2 linked regions of the Oryctolagus cuniculus genome follow. The protein of the gene in region 1 interacts with the protein of each later gene in a biochemical or structural test. Links are inferred from orthologs where the notes say so. Each region holds a gene or a part of one and is shown in the gene's direction. Other genes may lie near its edges.

Evidence for each region.
Region 2: the proteins of UBE2D2 (region 1) and RNF168 form a complex in vitro, tested with the Homo sapiens proteins (3 studies listed by BioGRID). The link is inferred for Oryctolagus cuniculus from reciprocal best matches to the Homo sapiens genes UBE2D2 and RNF168.

Annotation. Positions count from the first base shown.
Region 1 is NC_091437.1:27,257,774-27,264,003, forward strand, and holds the start of UBE2D2 (ubiquitin-conjugating enzyme E2 D2), read left to right. Parts: upstream 1-2,638; 5' UTR 2,639-3,105; coding exon 3,106-3,129; intron 3,130-3,642; exon of another isoform or gene 3,643-4,161; intron 4,162-6,230.
Region 2 is NC_091435.1:83,001,969-83,007,474, reverse strand, and holds part of RNF168 (E3 ubiquitin-protein ligase RNF168), read left to right. Parts: intron 1-1,543; coding exon 1,544-1,723; intron 1,724-5,486; coding exon 5,487-5,506. UniProt on the Homo sapiens protein: E3 ubiquitin-protein ligase required for accumulation of repair proteins to sites of DNA damage. Acts with UBE2N/UBC13 to amplify the RNF8-dependent histone ubiquitination.

The DNA of each region.
Region 1 (6,230 bases):
TTTCAGAACACAGAGGAAAGAACACTTCCCAATTTATCTTATGAGGCCAGTATAACCTTGATATAAAAACGTGATAAAAATATTACAACAAAATTATAAACCAATAGCCCTCATGAACATAGATGTAAAAATCTGCATGCCCTTTGGTGTAGCATTTCATTTGTAGTAGTTTTTCCTAAAGAAGTACTCTTAGAGCTGTTACAAGATAGTCACCACAGGATTACTTTGTTATTTTATAAAGTATTAATTTATTTTCATTTTACTTGAAAGGCAGAGAGAGAGAGAGAGAGAGAGAGAGACCTTCCATCTGCTGATTCACTCTCCAAATACCTGTTAACAGCTAGGGCTGGATCAAGTGGGAGCCAGGAGCCTGGAACTCAGTTTGGGTGTCCCACATGGGTGGCAGGGACCCAAGTACTTGAACCATCATCTGCTGTCTTCCAAGAAGCTGGATGCAAGCAGAGGCAGGACATGAACCCAGGTATTTCTATGAGAGATGTGGGCATCCCAAGAGCAAGTGCTGTGCCAAACGCCTGCTCCACATTATTTTCAAATTGTAAAAACTGTAAATGCGGAACAGGTGTTGTGCTGCAGTGGGTTAAGCCGCTGCTTAGGATGCCCGCATCCCATACTGAGGTGCCTGGTGAGTCTGGCTACTCTGATTCCAACACAGTTTCCTGTGGATGTACATCCTCAGAGGTGGCAGATGATGGCTCAAGGACGTGAGTCCTTGCCACCCCGGCTGGAAGGCAAGATGGAATTCTGGGCTCCTGGCTCGGGTCTGGTCCTGTCCCAGCTGTTGTCAGCACTCTGGGAGTGGATCAGCCAACGGAAGAGCTAGCTGTTGCTCTACTTTTCAAGTAAATAAAATAACCATAAAAATTAAAAAATCGGAAACAATTTAAATGTCTCCCAATGTGTGACCAGTTAATATGGTACTTTTTTTTTTTTTTTGAAATATTTATTTATTGGGGCCGACGCTGTGGCTCACTTAGCTAATCTTCCACCTGTGGTGCAGGCATCCCATATGGGAGCTGGGTTCTAGTCCCGGTTTCTCCTCTTCCAGTCCAGTTCTCTGCTATGGCCCAGGAGGGCAGTGGAGGATGGCCTAAGTGCTTGGGCCCTGCACTGGCATGGGAGACCAGGAAGAAGCACCTGGCTCCTGGCTTCGGATTGGCACAGCGCCAGCCGTGGCGACCATTTGGGGGGTGAACCAATGGAAGGAAGACCCGCGCTGGCCCCCACATGTCTCTATTTCTTGCAACAAATGCATATTACTTTTCTAATATACAGTTATGGAGAAAAAAAATTTGTTAAAGATTTATCTATTTGAAAGGAAGAATTGGGTGGGGATAGGAGAGAGAGAGAAAATTTTCCATCTGCTGGTTCACTTCACTAATGGCTGCCGAGGACCGGTGCCGGTCCAGGCCTAAGCCGAAAGCCAAGGAGGTTCTTCCAGGTCTCCCACGCGGGTGGCAGGGGCCCAAGCACGTGGCGGTTGAAAACATTCTTAAAAACCTGCCCAGTGGTTATTTTGTACCTCTCTCAGATTTCTTAGCAAGAAAAGATCTGGGGCTGTACAATGTTCCTCTTCAGCTCGAAACTCAAAACACATCCACTCTGGACAGCTGGATAACGGTTCTTCACGGGGCCGCGGGGGCTCTGCCCTGAGGATACAACCCAGGCGGCTCCCCACTCCTGCACCGTGGGACTCAGCGGGCCCCAGTGTTTACCTTCTAATTTCAGGAGTTAGAATCGGTCTCTTTCAGATGTAAAGGAGGCAGCATTTGAATCACAAACCCTGCGGGTGAATGTGAGAATATGGGCATTTTCTCCCAGCAAAATATTCCTGGCTACCTCCCGCTAGTCTCCAGCTAGATCACGAACACTGCCTGGCCCAGGCTGGGCCGTGCACTACGTTATTCTGGTCCTGGTGGAGGGCTCAACAGACAAGGTGCTGAGCTAGCGCTCTGCTTTCAGCCCCTGAAAAACCACTTCCCACATTCCACGTTCGCCTGCTAGCAGGCGCAGGACGCTGGATTTAACTACGGGGCACCGCGTATTCGAGGTAACTGCACCAAGCACCTCCCCTAACGCTGACATGCCCTCTCCCGCCCGGGCCCTCGTGGCGAAGGGCAATCTCGGGGAGGATACCCCCGATCCCGGCGGGTGCCGACTGCCGCCACAAAGCTGCGGCCAAGTGGCCCGTGCAGACCCCAAGACTTCAGATAAGTCCGAGTCCGGCCGCTGAAGAGCTGTTTGACCTTGGACAAGTCCCTTCCGCCTTGCAGGGACTTTGCAACGTGCCAAGTGCCCGCTCGGGGGACTAACGCGGGAACGGGCTAGCGACCTACAAAGCCTCTGCTTTCACGTGCTTATCGAGCTTCAACTACACGCGCTGGGGGGTACGACACGCAAAGGATCCGAGGGGCGCCGCGCGGGAGCGACCAGAACCCGCGCCTCGCCTCTCGCGAGATCTCCCAGCGCTTCGCAGCGTCATCCCCTCGGCGGCCGCGGCGGCGACAGCGACGGCGCGTACGAGCCTCACAGGGGCGGCACGTATCCCTCCGCCGCCGGCGCGGCCCGGCCCTCCCTGCGCTGGCCCGCCAATCCCCGCGCCTCCCGGCCTGCCCCTCGGCCTGGGCCCACCCCGCGCTCGGCGGCCCCACCCCGGCGGCGCCGCCCGCCCGCCCGCGCGTCCCTCGGTCCACCTGCAGCCCGCAGGAAGGCCGGCAGTCCCTCCGGCTGTTCGACCGAGAGGCGCCCGCCGAGCCCGAGGCTTGGGCGCTTGCTCCCCGGCGGAGGGATCCGTGGCGGCTGAGGAGGCGGCGCTGAGCCTGGGAGGAAGAGGCAGCTACGGCGGCGGCGGCGGCGGCGGCGGCTGGGGCGGCAGCGCATAAAGGGGCCGCCGCCGGGTGATGCGGTGACCGCTGCGGCAGGCCCAGGCGCTGAGTGGGCCCCGGCCCTCAGCCTGTCCCGTCGGACCCGCGTCCCCCACCTCCCCGTCCTCTTCTGCCGACCCGCGATCCCGAGGCGGCCTCAGCCCCCCTCGTCCCTTCCCCGTCCCTCCCCTGCCCGGGGGGCCGCCGCCACCCGCCTCCCACCATGGCTCTGAAGAGAATCCACAAGGTAAGCCACCCGGGGTCGGCTGCGGGGCGCGGGGCGCCGGGCGCGGGCCGGCAGAGCAGCCTGCGGCCTGCACTTCCCGCCGTCGCCTCCGCCGGGCTTGCGGTCCCTGGATCCCGGTCGGCTGCGGGCGCCGGCCCCGCGGGGCGGCCTGCACACCCCACTCCCAGTGATGGCGCCCGTGGAGGCCCCGGCGCGCAGCCTGCGCTGAGGTCGGAGGTGCCCTCGCCCCCTCAGCGCGCCTCCCCGGCCGCTTTTCCCGGCCCGCGAGGTGTTGAGTCCCAGGGCCTCCGTCCAGCCTGGTACTGCTGAGTCGAGGGCCATTGTCCGGCCAGGCCGGGGTGGGGGGTGGGAAGGCTGGGCGTTGGGCTGTCCGGGCGCGCCCGGTCTCTGCCCACTCCGCACCCCGCCTGCCCCAGTTGCCTTCGCAGAAGCCCCGGAGCTCGGGGCCCCTATCTCGGGCCGCTGGAGGAAGCCTTTTTGCCCGGCCCTCAAGTAGTTCTTGAGTTCACTTACCTCTTGGGCGGCTGCATGCTTGGGTCCATCCTGCTTGTCCAGAAACAGAGAGCACAAAGTTCGGAAGGAAAAGCTGACCCTGATGAGGAAGGAGGGAAGTAAAAGCAGAAGGCGGTTTATTGCTTTGAGATTCCCATATGTAGTCGGCCACTGGCCCTTGAGTTTTGCGAATTGGTCTGCTAGATAAACGATTACCCTGCAAGGGTAGCAACCAGTCGTTTCAGAAATCTGACCATAGGCAACCACAGGAGAAATTTCAGAAAGATTGCTTTCCGCAGTCTCTTCGCAAAATGGGCTTTGAGGTTGAAATTAGGCGATACTTTTAGGAAATCCTTTTTAGGAGGAGTTTTACTAGGTTTTCTGTTAGAAAGGACTTTGCTCCTTAAAAGGAATGTTTATTAATTGCGTTATTTGGAAGGAGGTTTTCCTGATCCTTGGCTGGAACCATAGCCTTCACCCGATATTGGAAGCTGTCAATGCAGCTTACTATTGTTTTTGTTTTTTTCCTTAGAAGTGAGGAGGCACCACTGACATTTCTTTGGGTGTTCCACTTGGCTAGTCAGATTGGCTATATTAACCTGCAGCTGCTTAGGGAGAAGTAGGTGCTGGGATCCTGAGTCCTGAATGGTGGTGATGAGCATGCAAAAGGGAGAGAACCAGTTTTCGTCTTGCCTTAAACTAAGAATGCAGGTTGATGATTTAAACACCTCAGTTCAGGCATTGATCTTCATTGCATTTCATTAAAGATTGGAGACTTTTATTGTGAAATTATATTTTTTAAAATATTTATTTACTTGTTTGAAAGAGTTACACAGAGAGAAGGAGAGGCAGAGAGAGAGAGGTCTTCATCTGTTGGTTCGCTCCCCAAATGGCTGCAACGGCTGGAGCTGCGCCGATCTGAAGCCAAGAGCCAGGAGCTTCTTCCGGATCTCCCACATGGGTGCAGGGGCCCAAGGACTCAGGCCATCTTGTACTGTGTTCTCAGGTCATAGCAGAGAGCTGGATCGGAAGAGGAGCAGCCAGGACTCAAACCACGGCACCCATGTGGGATGCTGGCACTGCAGGCGGCGGCTTTACCTACTATGACACGATGCCAGCCCAACATTGTTTTCTATAAATTAGATTAGATCATTAGCGACATTTTTGAATTTAAAGCAAATGATAAAGAGCAGACTTTAGATAAAGTAAATCTTGTAATAGAATGAAGTGTTTGTTAAAAGAAACTTGAACTTAAAGTAAGGTCTTGGGAGTTAAAAGCAGGAGCACACTGAGGAATGTTCTCCCAAGTGAAATGTTTGTGAATAAGTATTTTAAGACTTCTAGAAGTTATTAGGTTCTAACAGAGTTTAGTGGGGAAGTTATCAACCTGAGTTGACACTTGGTTTTATTTCTGTAGAAGAATGCTCTTATTTTAAAACCTAAAGAGGATTGTGAGTACAGTGTATAGTACTTCACAGATCCAGAAATGTAGCATTTAATCTGTGCATTGATATATTGTGTTATGGATAACTGCTTTGGAGAAGAAAATAGCACTTTGATTCACAATACATATTTTAATCTAGTAATACTTGTACCCACTAATAAGATTTCTTTTGAGTTACTATCTATTTTCTAGAATTGTCTTTTTCTAAAATATACCCTTAAAAAATTTTTTTTTAGTAAAAACAAGTTTGAAAATGATAATTTGAACTTTCAAATCTCAGCATTAACCTCTTTTTCCCCCCCTGGTTTTTTTTTTATTATTTTTTATTTTTTTTTTAAAGATTTATTTATTTATTTGAAAGTCAGAGTTACACAGAGAGGAGAGGCAGAGAGAGAGGTCTTCCATCTGCTGGTTCACTCTCCAGTTGGCTGCAACGGCCAGAACTGTGCCGATCCGAAGCCAGGAGCCAGGAGCCCCTTCTGGGTCTCCCACGTGGGTGCAGGGGCCCAAGGAGTTGGGCCATCCTCTACTGCTTTCCCAGGCCACAGCAGAAAGCCGGATGGGAAGTGGAGCAGCCGGGTCTTGAACCGGCGCCCATATGGGACGCTAACACTTCAGGCCAGGGTGTCAACCCACTGCACCACAGTGCCAGCCCCTCCCCCCTGGTTTATAATCTAGAGCCATCTTCAAAGTTTGACACCTTCTGTGAGACTATCAAGAATTAGAGAAATGAGATTTATTTATGCTGTACCAGTCAAAAAGATTCTGAAAGCAAAGTGGACTTAATTGTTTTCAAACTTTTTGTATGATACTAATTTTAAGTTGATTGGCAGATACACCAGGTATAGGTAGAACCAGTCCTATCTTACCCTCAAGTCCTAGTAATGGAGCTACATTGGAATCCCCAGAAGACTTGCTTGGCTTATAAAATTACCTTGGTCAGTGGGCTTTCCTGATTATCTTTCTCTGAAGAATTTTACTTAAGTACCCTCTCAGCTTTAGATGTAATGAACTGCTACTTCTAGGCTCTAATAAAATTTTTCGAAGAAAAATCACATTTGCCATGTCAGTGTCTTTAGGAGAAAGGTGGAGTGAAAGGGAAGGACAGATCCTCCACTCGCTGGTTCACTCCCTTGTTTCTTGACGGAGGGAGTCTGCGTATGTC
Region 2 (5,506 bases), on another chromosome or scaffold:
TTCGCCCTCCAGTGGCTGCCGCGGCCGGTGTGCCGCAGCCAACGCACCGCGCTGATCCGATGGCAGGAGCCACGTGCTTCTCCAGGTCTCCCATGGGGTGCAGGGCCCAAGCACTTGGGCCATCCTCCACTGCCTTTCTGGGCCACAGCAGAGAGCTGGCCTGGAAGAGGGGCAACCGGGAAAGAATCCGGTGCCCCGAACGGGACTAGAACCTGGTGTGCTGGCGCTGCTAGGTGGAGGATTAGCCTATTGAGCCACGGCGCCAGCCCTTGATTCCTGCTAAAAATAAGAGTGGGAATAAGAGAGGGAGGAGATATACAGTTCGGCGCACACTCTCTCAGACTTACCCCTAAGGGTAAAGCTTTTAAGTTCATAACTGATCATAAAGATAGGATTAAGTGTCAAAGGGATCACATAAATAAGACCAGTGTCTGCTAATAATAATTGATATAATTAAAAAGCAGGGAAAGATCCAACATGGGAAGCAGGATACACAGCAGACTCATAGAATGACAAATGCCCTAACCAGCACCCTTGCCTCAGAATCAGCCCTTAAGGCATTCGGATCTGGCTAAACAGCCCATGAGAGTATCTCAGGCATGGAAAGCCAAGACACTGCGGCAAAAAATGACCTACGTGAAAGATCTCTGTGAGTGAGATCTCAGTGGAAAGAAAGGGCCATCAAAGAAGGAGGTACCTTTCTCTGAAGGGAGGAGAGAACTTCCACTTTGACTGTGGCCTTGTGTATATAAGATCAGAGATTGTGAACTCAAGAGACTTCCATAGCCTTGACAGCTCATGACAAGAGCCTCGGGTGATCACTGACATTATAAATAAGAGTGTCAGTTGTTAAATCAACAACAGAAGTCACTGTGCACTTAACTCCCCATATAGGATCTCTGTCCTTAATGTACTGTACTATGAGAATTAATGGTAAAACTAATCTTCAAGCAGTATTTTATACTTTGTGTGTCTGTGTGGGTGTAAACTGTTGAAATCTTTACTTAGTATAGAGTTGATCTGTTGTATATAAAGATAATTAAAAATGAATCTTGGCCGGCGCCGTAGCTCACTAGGCTAATCCTCCGCCTGCGGCGCTGGCACTCAGGTTCTAGTCCTGGTTGGGGCGCCGGATTCTGTCCCGGTTGCTCCTCTTCCAGTCCAGCTCTCTGCTGTGGCCCAGGAGGGCAGTGGAGGATGGCCGAAGTGCTTGAGCCCTGCACCTGCATGGGAGACCAGGAGGAAGTACCTGGCTCCTGGCTTCGGATCAGCACAGCGCTGGCCGTAGCGGCCATTTGGGGGGTGAACCTTTGTCTCTCTCACTGTCTAACTCTGCCTTTAAAAAAAAATGAATCTTAATGAAGAATGGGATGGGAGAGGGAGTCGGAGGTGGGATGGTTTGCGGGTGGGAGGGTGTTTATGGGGGGAAGAACCGCCATAGTCCAAAAGTTGTACTTTTGAAATTCATATTTATTAAATAAAAATTTTCTATTAAAAAATTAAAAGTTCAGGGAAATATTGTTCTGTATTAATGCTTTTTGAGGTGGAAGCAGAGCGACGAGCCAGTGAGGAAGAAGAAAACAAAGCCAGTGAGGAATACATACAGAAATTACTGGCTGAGGAGGAAGAAGAAGAAAAGAGACAAGCAGAAAAAAGGCGAAGAGAGATGGAAGAACAACTGCAAAACGACGAGAAACTGGCAAGACGGCTAAGCATTGATATTGTAAGTTTTAAGAGAGAACTTAAAAAGCTTTTTAAATATGTTATTATTGAATTCAAATTTTATAGAAAAGCTGTTCAGTGAAAAATGAGTTTCCTTTCTCCCCATTCCACCTCTCCACTCGCATTCCTGTTCCATTACATGAGTCTGTTTGAAAGGCAGCCATTGGTAACAGATTCTTAAAACTTTTTCCCTTATTCACTTAGAAAGGATTAAATCATACTATTTTGCTCCTTGTGTTTGTTCAGAGACTTTTCACATGTAGTCTAATTCTTTTTTTAAGAGTAGAATATCATTCCATTGTATTGATATAAATCACTATTTGAAAGTAGAGTACATATTCTTAAGTAATGTGTTCAACTTGGATATTATTAACTTGCTGTAGTTAAATTACTGCTATGAGAAAATGAATTGAAAGATGATAAAACATATACTTTTTTATATACTTTTACATATTTGCTCTAATCAGTTTTTTTTTAAAAAAAGCTTTTTAAATGTTATTATAAATTCAAATTATGTAGGGAAACTATTCAGTGAAAACTTCCTTTCTCCTCATTCTACCTTGTCACTCCCATTCCTGTTCTGTTACATCAGTCTCCTGGATTTTATTATCTTGCTGTAGTTAAATTACTGCCTATGAGAAAATGAATGAAAGAAAGGATGATCCAGCACATATATTAAGGCCAAAGGGAACCAAGGACTTTAAAAAGCCTGGCAGAATTACCAAAGGATCCTTGAAAATATATACTCTTGTACCTACTCCAAATCTACTGAATTAAAGTGTCTGGGGTGTGGGACTTAGGGAATTTGGATCGTCCCTACAGAGATATGAAACATGCAGGTTTAAGAGGTTGTGAGAACAATTCCTTTGCTTTCAAACAATAAATATCTCTAAAAATATATAGCTAGTGTGGCCAGTGTTGTGGTACAGCAGGTTAAATCCCAGGGTTGCAGTGCTGGCGTCCTTGCTCTGCTTCCGATCTGGCTTCCTGCTAATGCGCCTGGGAAAGCAGAAGATGGGCCAAGTACTTGGTCCCTGCACCCACATGGGAGACCTGGAAGAAGCTCCTGGCTCCTGGCTTCAGATTGGCTCAGCTCTGTTGTCATGGCCATTTGGGGAGTGAACCAGTGGATGGAAGACCTTTTTCTTTCTCTTTCTCTCTTTCTTGCTCTCATTCTACCTCTCTCTGTAACTGTCTTTCAAATAAATAAAGTAAATCTTTAAAAAATGTATATTTACTTAACAAAAATGAAGTACACTGAGAACCAGCTTTTTTTTTTTTTTCTTTATTTCTTTTCTGAGAGGCTTATAGTTTGTAAAAATATTCTCAGGTTTTGGATTGTATGCCCTCTTTCTTATAGCCTTTTTCACCATTTTTTTTAATTTATTTTTATTTATTTATTTTTTTATTTTTGATAGGCAGAGTTGACAGGGAGAGAGAGAGACAGAGAGAAAGGTCTTCCTTTTTGCCGCTGGTTCACCCTCCAATGGCCACTGCAGCCGGCGCGCTGCGGCCGGCGCACTGCGCTGATCCGAAGCCAGGAGGCAGGTACTTCTCCTGGTCTCCCATGGGGTGCCTGGCCCAAGCACCTGGGCCATCCTCCACTGCACTCCCTGGCCACAGCAGAGAGCTGGCCTGGAAGAGGGGCAACCGGGACAGAATCCGGCGCCCCGACCGGGACTAGAACCCAGTGTGCCGGCGCCGAAAGGCGGAGGATTAGCCTAGTGAGCCATGGCGCCGGCCCTCTTTTAGCCTTTTAAAAAATGTTTGAGTAGAATAACCTTAGAAAGATGCTTAATCAGGAAATAAAATTAAAGACATTGAGCAGTGGAATAGTAAATGGAACAGAAAATAAATGTGTTGAAGAGGACAGGTTGCTGTTCTCTGTGCCTGTCTTTAAAGTGTCTGTGCTTCTAAATCTTCCAGCTATAACATGGGATTATAGAATATTTTTATTAATATTTTATAATAAGCTTTGGTTTACTTGAGAAAGTTTGGACCAGAGCCAAGTGTTCACATCACAATTTTTTTTAAAGATTTATTTATTCATTTATTTATTTGAAAGACAGAGTTACAGAGAGGCAGAGGAAGAGAAAGAGCAGTCTTCCATCCACTGGTTCACTCCCCCAGATGCCCGCAACGACTGGAGCTGTGCTGATCCAAAGCCAAGAGCCAGGAGCTTCCTCTGGGTCTCCCATGTGGGTGCAGGGGCCCAAGCACTTGGGCCGTCTTCTACTGCTTTCCCAGGCCATAGCAGAAAGCTGGTTTGGAAGTGGAGTAGCTGGGACTTGAACTGGTGCCCATATGGGATGCCAGCACTGCAGGCAGTGACTTTGCCTGCTAAGCCACAGTGCCAGCCCCCACCATCACAGATTATATGAATTTTCCAATAAGGTAGTACAAAACTTATGAGACTGATAAAACACAAATATTTGTAATATTTATTGTTACACGCTTAAGGCCTAGACTTAAATTATTTTCATGTTAAACTAAATTTTACTCCTCGTTATATCTACAAGTCTTTGAATTTTCCCCTATAGATTAAGATAGTTATTTATAGTCGTATGAAACTTTGTTTAGAAAAAAATCAGAATTTATCAGCTAAAGAGATTAGTATCGTGATGCCATTTTGCATGCTTTATAATCTACAGCAAAAATTGATTTATTTAGATCAACTTGGATGTACTTAATTTTGTTTCTGTAATCATCCCTCAGTATCTAGGGGATTGGTTCTAGGAGCTCGTCCATGGATGCTCAAGGGCCTTTTATGGGTGTAGTATATGCCTGTAATCTGTACATACACTGTCATAAACCTTAAGTCATTTCTAAATCAGGCCAGGCATTTGTCACAGTGTTTTAGGGCACCTGCATCCCATATCAGAGTACCTCGTTCAAGTCTTGGCTTCCCTGCTTGTGATCCAGCTTCCTGCTGATGTACACCCTGGGAAGCAGCAATAATGGTTCAAGTACTTTGGTCCCTGCCACCCTTGTGGGACCTGGATTGAACTCCAGGCTCTTGACTTCAGCCTAGTCCAACCCTGGCCTTTGCAGACATTTTGGAGTGAACCAGCAGGTGGAAGGTCTCTCTGTCTCACTACCTTTCAAATGAAGTAAAAATAAATATGCATTTTAAATTAATTAGAATACCTAATACAATGTAAATAGTTGTTACACTGTATTGTTTAGGGAGTAATGATAAGAAAGGCTGTATGTGTTCAGAATAGACACAGTTTCTTTCTTTCTTTTTTTTTTTTTTTGAGAATTTTTGAACCATAAATGCTTAAATGCTTGAATCTGGATGCAAAACCTAGAGATACAGTAAGCTGACAATACTGAGGTGTTTTTTTTTTGTTTTTTTTTTTGTTTGTTTGTTTGTTTGTTTTGTTTTGTTTTTTTGACAGGCAGTTAGACAGTGAGAGAAAGAGAGACAGAGAGAAAGGTCTTCCTTCCATTGGTTCACCCCCCAAATGGCCGCTATGGCTGGCGCGCTGTGCCGATCCGAAGCCAAGAGCTAGGTGCCTCCTCCTGGTCTCCCATGCAGGTACAGGGCCCAAGCACTTGTACCATCCTCCACTGCACTCCCAGGCCACCGTAGAGAGCTGGACTGGAAGAGGAACAACCAGTTTTATGTGGTCAGTTATCTTCAGTGGATGTATAGAATTTAAGTATTAGTATAATTCCTGAAAAATTCTGTAGATCCCATATTGATAGCTTATTCTGATAAGGTTTCCTTTAATAATCCTTTTTTTTTTTAATTGTTGAAGAACAATTTCTCTGAGGGAGA